Linked DNA regions of Oryzias latipes. The protein of the gene in region 1 interacts with the protein of each later gene in a biochemical or structural test. Links are inferred from orthologs where the notes say so. Each region holds a gene or a part of one and is shown on either strand. Other genes may lie near its edges.

Region 1 (5,968 bases):
CAGCATTGTGGTCACAAAGGTAAAGTTGACTAACTTCCGCCTCTTACTGAGAAACAGAGACGATTATGATAGGAAGCTGCTCGGCTTATTTCTCACCTCAATGATTCTTATCACAGCTTCGGGATCTTGTTTTCTCTTTTTCTGAAAGAAAAAAATATGATCAGCTTTTTCCCCCCCTTTTAATTTATAACTCAAATGAATGAATAAAGGCAGATTCTTACCCCAGCATGATCACAAACAAATGTGTGACTGTCGCCTGACATGTCAGACCTAAAAAGGAAAAAAGGTTCCCAAAGAAAAATAAAATTATTCAATCAAAAAGATTTAAAATAATCTAAAAGATCTCATTTCACCCTAAATTAGTTTGTGATTATACAACAAGAAACTGGTTCACTGATGATGCAGCAAGTATAGACTAAAAAAATAAATAAAATTACCCAAAAAACTCAAGTCACCCTGTTTTATCAATTAACAGATGGAACACAGAAGGAAAAAAAGTTGATCGTACCAGGAAGTCCTCGATTCATCAGTCGCCTCCACTTCCATGTTAGTTTCTTCAAAGCATCTTCACAATATCACTGGACATTTTGAACACGAGTGGCAATAATCCAGATTTGAGGTAGTTTCTGTGCAGGCCCGAACGCAACCTGTTTGCATTCGGGGTGTTAAAAGCTCAACACACTCCTTCCTCTTCACTTTCTTCCTCATCTTACAGCTTACCACATCCTTTAGGGGTTGCACAGAACTCGCATATCCGCTCTTCTCAGGGAGGAGTGCTCAAGCTTCACGCTAAGCTCATCACCGAAATCTCATTTCTCCTCCAAATGTTCACAAAAATTTGTTGTGGAAAAATTGTAAATTGCTGAAGTGAAATAATATTTGACGTAGAGTGTCATATTAGACTGTGGTTACCAACTGATCTAGTTTTAGAAAACTTAAATATCACATAACCTACAGACATTTTTTCCACAGTAAATAGTCAACCAGTCTTTTAGCTGGTGAAGCTTATTTCCTGCATGTGATGCTCCACTTCACTGCTGAGCAGCATAAACCAGACTAGACTCAATAACCAAAGCAGACAACACACATAATTAAAATCAACGTCACACATTTTTACTGAATCAACTGAAAAGAAAAGACAGACACACAGGCGAGTTTTTCCATGTTTATTCACTATAACACTAAGTGCTCCCATTCAAGATACATCTCAACGCTTCGCTCTTAGATTTAATTAATTTTGGAGTTAACAAAGTAGAAAGACAGTTTGATGATCTACCAACTGTGTGCCAAAACTCCTTCCAAACACCCCCCCCTCCCAGAAAATAAAATAAAATGGAACAAAACACATGACATGGAGAGCATCAAGAGAAAACTATTGTGGTGTGCAGCAGCCTGAAGAAAGCCAGAGTGCTGAAACGAGGCTTTGAGGGTGCTTCAAAGTGAAGGAAGGGAAGGAAATTCATCAGTTTGATGCTGTAATTCCATTTCCAGTTGAGGAACAAAAAATAAAGGGAGAATTGGGTTTTTACGTTGTTGAATAGCCTTGATTTAAAAAAAAAAAATCATGTATTAAAAAGTAACAGTATGAGGGGACAGATCTATTAGAAATGGGCTCCAGAAGAGAGGAGAGCAAGCAGGGTGTGTTTGAAAGCTCTGCTTCAGAATGATAGTTAGGTGTTATTGTACATACAGACTAGTTGGGCTTTGCAATGAGGGCACCGAGGCTTTTGAAGTTTAAAGGTTCTACTACAGAAAAACATTAGGATGTCCAATTTACATGCTCCCTCCCTCTCTCCAACAAATCTCCTCTTCCCACAGTCAAGCACAGAGTGGAACTGTAACACACAGACAGGTATCCTTCTGTCAGCTTACTGGGGCTATGTACAGTCAGGCACAGGTTTAAACAAACCACGGGCCTAAAAAAGGAAACCAATTGATCCAATAGAGCCGATCTGGATCAATCCACCCACCCTTTGTCACACCACTATTTCCCCACTAAGAACACCCCCATTCCTTGCATCCCCCCCTAGCAACTACCACCCTCCTGTGGGTGGTCTCCGGGTGAGGCTCAGCGAATGGTGTATCTGACGTAGGGCACTTCCACATCTTCATCTGAAGTATCGTTACAGCAGAGCTCGAACACCAGAGCTTTAACGTGCTTGCCCAGCTTCTTTTTGGACACCTTGGTCACAATCTCAGTCATCCTGCAGAAATCAGAACAGGAAAAACTCAGTTTGTGGAAGGAAAACGTAAAGAGGCTGGACTCTCGCGTATGCAGTTACTTACGGTAGGTCAAGCCTCTCTTTAAGCTTGGCAGCGGGCATGAAAAATGAATAGAGCATGGACACTCCCTGAGAAAGCATGGTGATCTCCAGCTGATGCTCGTTCTGCCAAACAGGGGAGAAAAAACAAAGTTACTCATTGCAAAAACAAAAAAAGTTGGAGAAGAAGCACCTAAATTTGCTGAACATACTTTAAAGTAATCCAGAAACTGGCGGAGTGTCATCTCTTCACCGTTGGCCTGCATTCCTGTTACTTCAAAGCGATCCCACAGACTCCATTCAGTTTCATAGTACTGGAAATAAATGAAAAATAAAGTTACAGCTACTGTAGGTAAAAAAAATAGACATCACACAGAGCTGCAACAATGCTATAAGCGCATATTTGGTAAACACGTCTCCTCAGCACACACTGATCACACCAGTGTGAGAAGGTGAGTTGAACTCACTTGCATCCAGTCAGAGTTAATGCAGCTGACTGATGCATCAGTATTAGCATGGCTGAATCATCACAGGAGCCAGAAGCAGACTAAAACTTTATCACTGTGTCACAATCGTCACACGTTTTATAATCTTTACAAACTTGTGGGATAAAACAGCAACACCTCACCTTATGTTTTGGAGCAGCAATGGGCTCAGAGTAGGCAAAGAAAGGCAGGGCTAAGTTCATGAAACCATTCTTGTACGTCTCAAGCTTCTTGTGTCCTTGCACGACCTTGATGAGCTCCAGGCAGACCAGGCCAACAACTGCAGCGGTGGTGGTGGCAATGGCAGGAATGATCTTGCCGGCAATCAGTTTGCTCTGGAAAGAACAGTAAACCAAAAGAGAAATTCACAATCGATCAGCTAATGAACGGAGGTTAAACAATGAATGAAAAACACTCACTTTGGTTTGCTTAACATTTCTAATTTATAAAAAACATACAGACCAAGTTTGAGGACGTTTTATATGTCACAATCACTCCTTCCAAGGTTAATTGGTTACTCTAAATTGTCTCTCACATAAGTGTGAATGTGAGAGTGCATGGGTGTGATTGGGGCCCTGCGACAGACTGGCGACCTGTCCAGAATGTCCCCAGCCTTCACCCGCAAGTGGCGGGATAGGCTCTGGCATCGCCGTGACCACAAAAGGGAATAAACAAATTAGAAGATGACCGAATGACTCCTCCCTTCACCAGTCCAGAAAAATTCAGACAGATACATTATTGAAAGAGAAAGAACAGGGGAAAAAAACTTAAAGTATTTCTGCCCAGAGGTTTTGCTATGCGAGAATCAAAAAAACAAAAAGACGCCCTTGTTAGTTGGCCAAATGAGGTCATGTGAATGTTTAGCCCACCTTGTGTCTGTCTGCAGGCGGAATGTCATAGTTCTCTGCTCTAAGGTTGGATGCGGCCACAATAAAGTCCATGTGGAAGTTGGTGTCATCATCCTGGAGGGGCAGAAATAAAACCATTTTTAAAACATTTCTTCTCGGGTGATCCATGTTCTTCCTACACTACAAAATAAATGAGGCTGTAGCAAGTAAAAGGGGGTAATTTAGTGATAAATAGAATGACATTTTCTAAATACAAACACACAACGGGGTTCATTTGCATAGAGAATCACGTTATTACGACATACAAACTAATAATGACATTCACGTTTCATTCATCTAGTAAATCGATTTTTACTTCTACGTTCCTGTATTATTTTGATGACAACAAAAAAATATACAGAATTACTTTTTACATTTTTTTTTAGAAATGACAAACATTTGTAACATGACGATCAAAGAAAGACTGATTATGTCTGACGTGAAAGAAATTGAGTACCTTTTCAAACTCGATGGGGTTTAATTTGAACTGGAAAGACTCTGGTGACGGCAATTTGGTTTTTAGTTCTTCCAGTTTAGAGTCATCTGCATTAAAGAGATCCATGTCACAATAGGCCTTCAGCAAAGACAATTATACACAAACATTTCTGAAAGATTTTCAATGCTGTCTTGTGCATAAATACGGTCTTACCAACAGAAGAGTTGCTCGATTGCAGCTCCTGGTCTGAGACGTGAATTTTAACCCCAGAACGGGGGGTAAAAGTGGGCACCTTGACCTCTTGCAAAATCTTGACCAGTCCTGCACGGTCGGTGCTACCTGGCAGACCATACATCTGCGCAAACAGGTTAGCAGCTGCCAAAACATAATCCATGTGCAAGTCCTGGAGACAAAGGCTAAATGTTAATAATTTGAATCTTTTTTTGAGGAGGAATACTTTTGAAGACGGTGAAAAGCGCATATTTACATTGCTAGTGCTGAATTCTAGGGGATGAGGACACCTCTTTGGGCCAGACCAGAAAGGTGCACCTGAGCTGGTGAGCTGCAAGACAAATATCTTCTTTAGACATATGGGACTCAAGATACATCTGAAAAAGTTTAGGAGCTCAATGTTTAGATTGGGTGCAACTTCATGAAGTAAAATGTAAACAGAAAAACAAGAAAATATAAAAAGAAGTCCCTGTAAAAGCATTTCCAGATATTTTTTCAGTCCGATTATGCGGTTTTTAGACAAAAATCAAGAAAACGGTTGTTTTCTAGGGCAGTTTCTGCAGAGCGGCAGGAGTTCAGTAGAAATTCACCTCTAAGCTGCGGACAGGGCTGTTGACGCGGAGTGAGCCTGACTCATTTCCCATCAACCCTTTGTTTACACCCTCTCCTGCTAGCTTACAACCTCTCACAACCCCAACCTAACATTACCAGTGCAACAAAATGGGGGCGCTTTATTAAGTCAGACTTTATTTATCCTCATTGAAATGTATTCACAACTCAAGTCCTTTCATTGATGACATATGTAATTCTGCCACAGAATGGTTAAAGATCTAGGGTCCAGATTGTTGTTTGCCTTTTATTTTAATTTATGCTGAAAGTTGTTTTTAATATTTTTTTATATATGTATAAATTTTTGTTTTCTTTTGTTCTTTGTTTTTGTGAAAAGCAGTGCCTTGCATCATTGTGTGGTTGTGTCTCCAAGAGTTTTGTAATGGTTATATTTTAATTAAAAAAAATAAAAAAATGTGGGCGCTTTTTAGAGCTATCCAGCCATACAGTTTTGCGCCAGACGCCAGCTGAGGAAAATGAGGACATTTGTCTGCATCAGAATGGGAGGGAACTTGTGGCCTGCCGACTGTATTTTGTATGGAACAACTGCGAGCTTTTTCAAATAGCAATTGTTAATCTGCTCATGATTCACTACAATTTAAATAAGGAAAAACTCAGGAATGCAGTTTTAAGCTTAATTTTCTTCATATACGTCCTTCACCATGACAAACATGCTACAAGAACACGTTAAACAACAACACAATTTTCATTTGGATGGCTGTGGTTTAAATAGGACATGAAAATATCAAGACAAAAAAAACCTCATAGTGTAGAAATGTTCTTCCATTTCCTACCATCTGTGAATAAAATTAAAAGTGCCCACAACAGGGGCGTTTACCTGATCAGGGGGGAAGTTGTGCAATAGCTGACGGATGTTGTTGCTGTACTGGCACTGCCAGTGGTTGCGCGCCCAAGCTACGCAGTCAGCCCAGCTGTGTGGACAGTCTGTGACAACGCACTTGTAAACTGCATCCAGTACTTCCAGTGGCTGAGCCCCAGGAAGCTTCAGTGTACGCTCCATGAACTTAGGATCTCTGCAGGAATCAGAAAAAACAAATA
Region 2 (5,968 bases), on another chromosome or scaffold:
ATTTCACCATGAATTGTAAATCTTTGGAACACTAAAAAATATGTATATTGTGCTTTTATTCCTTAATGTTGAATACAAATAAATTATATAAAAATCATACAATGTGATTTCCAGATTATTTTTCTAGATGATGTCTCTCACAGTGGAAATGCAGCTTAAATGAAAATGTCAGACGTCTCCATGATTTCTAAGTGGGAGAATCACAGTGTGTTTGTGTGTTTACATACCTTTTTGCCGCACTGTAATCAGACTAAGAATTAGCCTGTTTATGAAAAAGACAAACTTTAGTTTTGTTGATTACCTTTTTTATTGGTTTTCTTTGGTTAATATTTGGCCAGTTTCAGGGATTGTACACATTTTTCTCTTGCTATTTTTCCACTACAGTCATTAATTTTTTGTCCTATTATTAAAAATATATATATATTTTTTAATAGCATTAATAAAATTCATTTAGCAAATGTAGCATTTATTCCAGTTTTGTCTTTGTGGCATTTGGATGAACCAGGTTTCCTTTATTTGATGTTTCCACAAACATGTGAGTCTCCATCCTTTTCCTCTGCAGATATCATCAGCTTCCTCTGTTGAATTTCCTTTACTTATCGACGATTAGGAAAATAACTTTAAGGTTTGAACCATAATCTCACTCTTGTAAATAACTGTGTCTACGATGAAAAATCAGATTGTATTTTCTGCCAACGTAGTTGGGACTGCGGTTCAAATGAGTATAAATATATGGTTGCTAAATATAGACAGAAAACAGACACATTTAAAACTTTAAATAACTTTATTAAACAATAAGACCCAATTATGAATTCCAAGAAAGTCTGAAAAGAAGGATTTACTGTGTTTAGTCTTGACCTGGCGGGTTTGACTAAACGTTTGTCTTTAGGGTTCTTCGTCTGACAAAGCAGATGAACATGGGAGCGGCTGCTGAGTGACGAGCAAAGCCCCTTATCTTCTTCCTGTTTCCTAAATGTGACTGAAGGCTGTGCAGCTCAGCAGCAGGTTGCAGAGACGACCATCAGGCATGAAGCATCAAAGGCCGCACAAGTGGAACCTCAGAGCTGCGTTCATGTCAACCTGGAACTCTGATGTAGAAAATGTGAAAGCTGAACCCTCCCTGTCAGCCTTTGGGGGGCGCTATGAAGGGGTAAAGAACAACGGGGTGCCTTTAAACAAAAATGAAGAGTGAGAACTGCTGCTGCTGATGAACCACCACTAAAGATTGAAAGTATGACGGATTAAATGGTCCAGAAATTACAATCTGGGAGTTCTCTGCTGCTGGCTGGTTTGCAGCGTGAACCCCCCCCCCTGCAGGGACACCCCTCCACGCCAACACGATCACAGAGGCAGGCGGTGCTCAGGCAGTGAGGAAGAGCTGCTGCTCGCTCCATTAAAGAGCCGCCCCGCTGATTTAAAAGCTTCACACCATTTAAAACGAATGCATTTATTCTGAAAGAGCCCCCCCACCTTAAAGAAACTAAAACTAATGCAGCACGTTCACTCCAGGTGACGGATGGAAAACGCTTCTGCCGTTTGTTGGCCCCATTAAAACTGGACAGGAGCTTAACTCGTGGCCTTCGGAGGATTCTCTGGCTGTGTCTGAGGAAATTTCCCATAATTCCATGTTCTGACATATTACAATTGTAATTAAATAATGGGAACGAAAGCAGCCGCGGGGTGCACCGCAGTTACAAGTGGGAGACGCTGAGCTGAATCCTAAACAACAAGCCTCCTGTTCTAAGGAGGGGGGTTCAAATTCACACTGATTAAAAGGAGGTGCTGTGATGTGCAGTGCCCCCCCCCCCGGAGGAGGTTTCCTGTTGGCTGAGCAGCGAGGGCAGAAAGTCAGCTGCTGCCTCAGCTCTGCTTCCACTCCAGCTGACCTCTGAGTCTGAATTGAGGAGGATGGGGTCGTGGTCACAACTCGTAGTTGAAGTTGTACTCGTTGGCAAGGTAGATCCTGCGGAAGATGAGGGCCGCCAGAGCCAGTGTGAGCACCAGGATGAGGACGGCAGAGCCGGCGTGGCTTTGGTCCAGAGGCTGGCGGGGCGCCGGGACGGACGCCACCCTGCTGGCCGCCACCTGAATGCTGTCTCTCGAGCCGGGCTGCTGCGGGGAGCGGCGCTGCCGGACAGAATCGATGGAGTCCACAGGGGCAGGGGGCTGGGGTTCCTCTGGTTCCTCTGGTCCCTCTGCCTGAAAACAGGACAAACAGAATGCAGTGACTGACGTCCACCAATCATGTTGGAGATGATCTGGAGTAACAATTACATCATGATGTTTAGCGATTCTTCTGCACAGGAAACGTTAGCTAAAATCTTTTCTTAATCCAGAAGAAATTACAAACAGACACAAACAGTTTCCATAACTAACAGTCTTTGATGTTTTTTCCGCTGTTTTCCGCTGCACTAACTACTGCCCCCTATTGGACACTAGTTATTACACTTATTTTGTTGCTAGAATGTATAACTTCTAGTTTACAAAAAGGCCCAAAAGCTAAAGACTTGTAAAACTTCCCCGATCGAGTTTTAGTAGCCTTTTAGTCTTTTATTTAATTTAATTTGATTATTGTAAAAAAAAATTTATTCTATTAAAAGTCTTGTTTCTGGACTGTATTGCAGCTTAATTGAAATAGAGTTTTCAGGCAGAGCAAATAGCATAGAGAAATATTGATACGATTAATATTTACAGTCCAAAAATGTGTTCATACACCTGCTGGTGTATGAACACTGTGTGGGAGGAGCTACCGCCTAGAACTTTTAGCCTCTTTCCTACATGGAAACGGATGCAGGTGAGAGATCAGAGACTGTCCCGGTACGGCGAGGTCATCCTCTACTACTATGCCTGAATGACGGCGTTTTTAGCAGCTCTATTGTCTCTCTGTGACCCAGTTTGATGAATTGCTGTCCCGCTTTAGACCCAGGAGCGAAAAAGACTAATAAGAATAAAATTAGAGGATGCAAATTAGAAAAATATCATAAAGTTAAGGAGAAGAAGAATCAGACTCTCCTCCATGTTGGTTTTGGACTCCACCCACTGAACATGACACAGGCCAAAGCGGAGTCCTGGTTGGAATGAATGCGATGGGAATTCTTTGACAAAGTTTCGAAATTTGAACTCGAAACGTGAAACAATGTATTAGCCGCTGTGTCGTGTTGTTTCACCGCGCAAAACCTGCTGGCCAGATTCCTGTGCGTAGCGCTCAAATTGCGCTGTAGGACCTCTGATCACGTCTGTAAGGTGACATAACATTAAAACTGGACGCCACTGACACAAATCGCATTCGCTGTGAATGTAGCTTTAGGCAATGCATTGAGACTTGGAGGGCTAACAGGGGCAGGATTATCACTTTAGCTAGGTGGTGAGAGTTAAACTATGACGTAAAGATGTCCTGGAACATCAGCTCTTCTATCGTCAGACTGAAGATGATTAAATTATGAAACTAAAAAGTTAAGACCAATTGAAGGAATTATTTGGAGATGGATATTCTGCACATTTTAGTGTTAATTCCACAGCTCCCCTGCAGTAATGTCACTGAATCAGCCTTGCTGATGATGGGCATCCAATAATAGTCTTTGTCCCTGATGCACAGAGACGTCTTCAATTTCTCTGAGTCACCTGCTGATACTCTGTTCAGTGGATGATGACATTTGCATAGGCCTATGAGGTTTCACTTTGTGGAAGGTTGGTTGCAAATATTTAATATTTCTAAACTAATGGAAAAACCGGTGAGGAGCTCTGTGGGTAAAAAGTGGGCCACCCAGTCTGCAGCAGCAGATGGTTGCTCCCATTCTGGCCTTTTCAGTTGATCCAAGCGCAGAAGCAGTAATCTAAGTTGACCCTCGTCTCTGCTGCTTCAGTCTCTGTGTGAACAGCATCTGGCACCAAAATCAATCCTCTTAGGCAACGCAGCTCACACATGCTGGAGGAGCTGCTGATGAGGGAAAAAAAACTCACTTCAAACCTCTAAATTGCATCTGCTGCTGGAGGCGGAGCTGATGTCTGACTGGTTGATTAAAGTCAGGAACTAAAGCTGACAAGCAGACGACATAATTGCCTTTGGCAACTCTACCTCTTACGTCCTCCAAAATAAAGGCTGCAGCCGTGAGCGGCCTCGGCAGCAGCCGGACACCCACCTGTTCAGCCTGCGGCGTCTCAGCCGCTTCCTGGCCAGCGGGTGAGGACGTGTCCTGCTGGGGGAGTGCCGACAGCTCCTCGCCGCCTGCAGGTCCGCTCGCACTGGCCTGAGGGGGCGAGCTGGATTCAGCCTGAAAACGTGCGTCATTGCTTCATTGACATGGATGCAGAGGAGCGTAAAATGATGAACTGCCTTTCAAGCTACGGCCGTTTGAACCTTGAAGTTGATCTGCTGAGCCAGCTCCTGGGCCTTGTGGTCCTCGGCGCTGGGGTTGCTGTTGGCTGTCGGCGGGAGCAGAGCGGTGCGCATGGAGCAGCTGCAGCTTTCACAGCAGAAGTCCTGGGACCTGCCAGAGAACCAGTGGGACAGACTGAGCTCTACCTCCCGCAGTTCCCCGTTTCTCTACCCAATGCAGACACTGGACAGCACAACTCTCCCGTCAGGCGAGGGAAAACCATCAAATCATCAAATACTGCTACTGTGATTAATGCCTTCACCTGCAGGGAAAGCGAGTCTATTGACACGGTCATGACTTGCTGCTCCTCATGCATCCATCTGAGCTGTGTTTGACATTCCCGGCACAGATTTACCCACAGCGGGGTCAGACCAAACATCAGCAGGTCTATGTGGATGTCACTGGCTGTAATGGTCTGTAACAATAGACCTAATGAATTCACATCAGTCAGAATGGCTTGTCTGAACACTTCAGCCCACGAACAAACATGCATGTGACCGGCGGTGTGCTGGGAAGGCTTTAGGATGAAGACACAGAAAAGCAAAGAAGGACTAGCTGCTTTTTCTACTTCTTGCTTTCATTCCAGTCTTGGTCGGACATTACAGAATCCCTGTGACTCGCTTTGTAACTGTGGCACAGTCTAGTCCGCTTCAGTTTTGGTTTGCTTTAGACTTTCACCTCTGTAAAAGCAAAGCAAATCTGTCTTATTTATACAGCGCACTTTGACTCTGTCAATCAATCTCCTCTGTGCTGTCTCCTGACCAGAATGTGTTCAGTTTGCCAGATACATAAATCTTCATCACGATCAGATCTTTGTTTGGACCAGACTAGACTTTTTTTCTATTGAAGGATTTGAGAGAAAAGTTTGAAAATGTTCATGTCTGTCTGGTAAAAATGTAGAAAGGGTGTAGGGAGTTTTATAGCCCTAAACATCTGTAATTCTACGACATTTTTAGGGCATAACCCCTGCAATAAACGAGGGAAACACTGTAACTCTGAGCAGCATCTATGGACAGAAATCAAAGCTGTCTCCATGTTTCTGTCCACTTTCACTTCCAGGTCATTTGTTCACCTAAAGCATCAACACGGCCTCTGATAGCTGCTCCCTCAGGCTCATCACTAAAGTACCAACACTGGTGAAGTGGAAAAACACTGTTGAGCCCTGGGGGGGTCGAGGGTCGAAGGCCTTCTGCAACCCAGTGAAGATATCTTTTAAAGCAGACGGTTCCAGAAGCATCAAAGCGCAGTCTGACTGTCAGTGCAGGTTAAGAACAATAATAAACTTTAATTGTATAGCACCTTTCAAGATAAAAACCACAAAGTGCTTCACAGTAAAACCCGGTAAAACACAGTTTTACTGTTTCTATGTGTCAAATGTTTATTCAAAAAGAATAATAATGAATATTTAATTATTTTCTCTACTACTTTCTTCTTATTTTGTTTGTTTTGCTCTTACAGGGACAGAACATTTCAAAATCATAATGATTATGGGTTTTTTTGGTCAGTCATTTTATAAAGTAAAACTCATTTGATACAGAACCATACTGAAATAGTTAAAGCCTTTACTTCTTGTAAATTTGATGATTTAGGCT

Evidence for each region.
Region 2: the proteins of uba1 (region 1) and ube2j1 form a complex in vitro, tested with the Homo sapiens proteins (2 studies listed by BioGRID, with this or other methods). The link is inferred for Oryzias latipes from reciprocal best matches to the Homo sapiens genes UBA1 and UBE2J1.

Annotation. Positions count from the first base shown.
Region 1 is NC_019865.2:13,788,937-13,794,904, reverse strand, and holds the end of uba1 (ubiquitin-like modifier-activating enzyme 1), read right to left. Parts: intron 5,944-5,968; coding exon 5,748-5,943; intron 4,632-5,747; coding exon 4,557-4,631; intron 4,473-4,556; coding exon 4,283-4,472; intron 4,177-4,282; coding exon 4,091-4,176; intron 3,709-4,090; coding exon 3,616-3,708; intron 3,082-3,615; coding exon 2,890-3,081; intron 2,798-2,889; exon of another isoform or gene 2,677-2,797; intron 2,576-2,676; coding exon 2,474-2,575; intron 2,388-2,473; coding exon 2,287-2,387; intron 2,205-2,286; coding exon 2,069-2,204; 3' UTR 1,152-2,068; downstream 1-1,151. Other genes in the region: rho guanine nucleotide exchange factor 3, read right to left, coding at 97-141, 222-270, 509-546. UniProt on the Homo sapiens protein: Catalyzes the first step in ubiquitin conjugation to mark cellular proteins for degradation through the ubiquitin-proteasome system.
Region 2 is NC_019882.2:20,273,965-20,279,932, reverse strand, and holds the end of ube2j1 (ubiquitin-conjugating enzyme E2 J1), read right to left. Parts: intron 4,488-5,968; coding exon 4,358-4,487; intron 4,272-4,357; coding exon 4,140-4,271; intron 2,200-4,139; coding exon 1,921-2,199; 3' UTR 766-1,920; downstream 1-765. UniProt on the Homo sapiens protein: Catalyzes the covalent attachment of ubiquitin to other proteins. Functions in the selective degradation of misfolded membrane proteins from the endoplasmic reticulum (ERAD) and is essential for cells to recover from ER stress.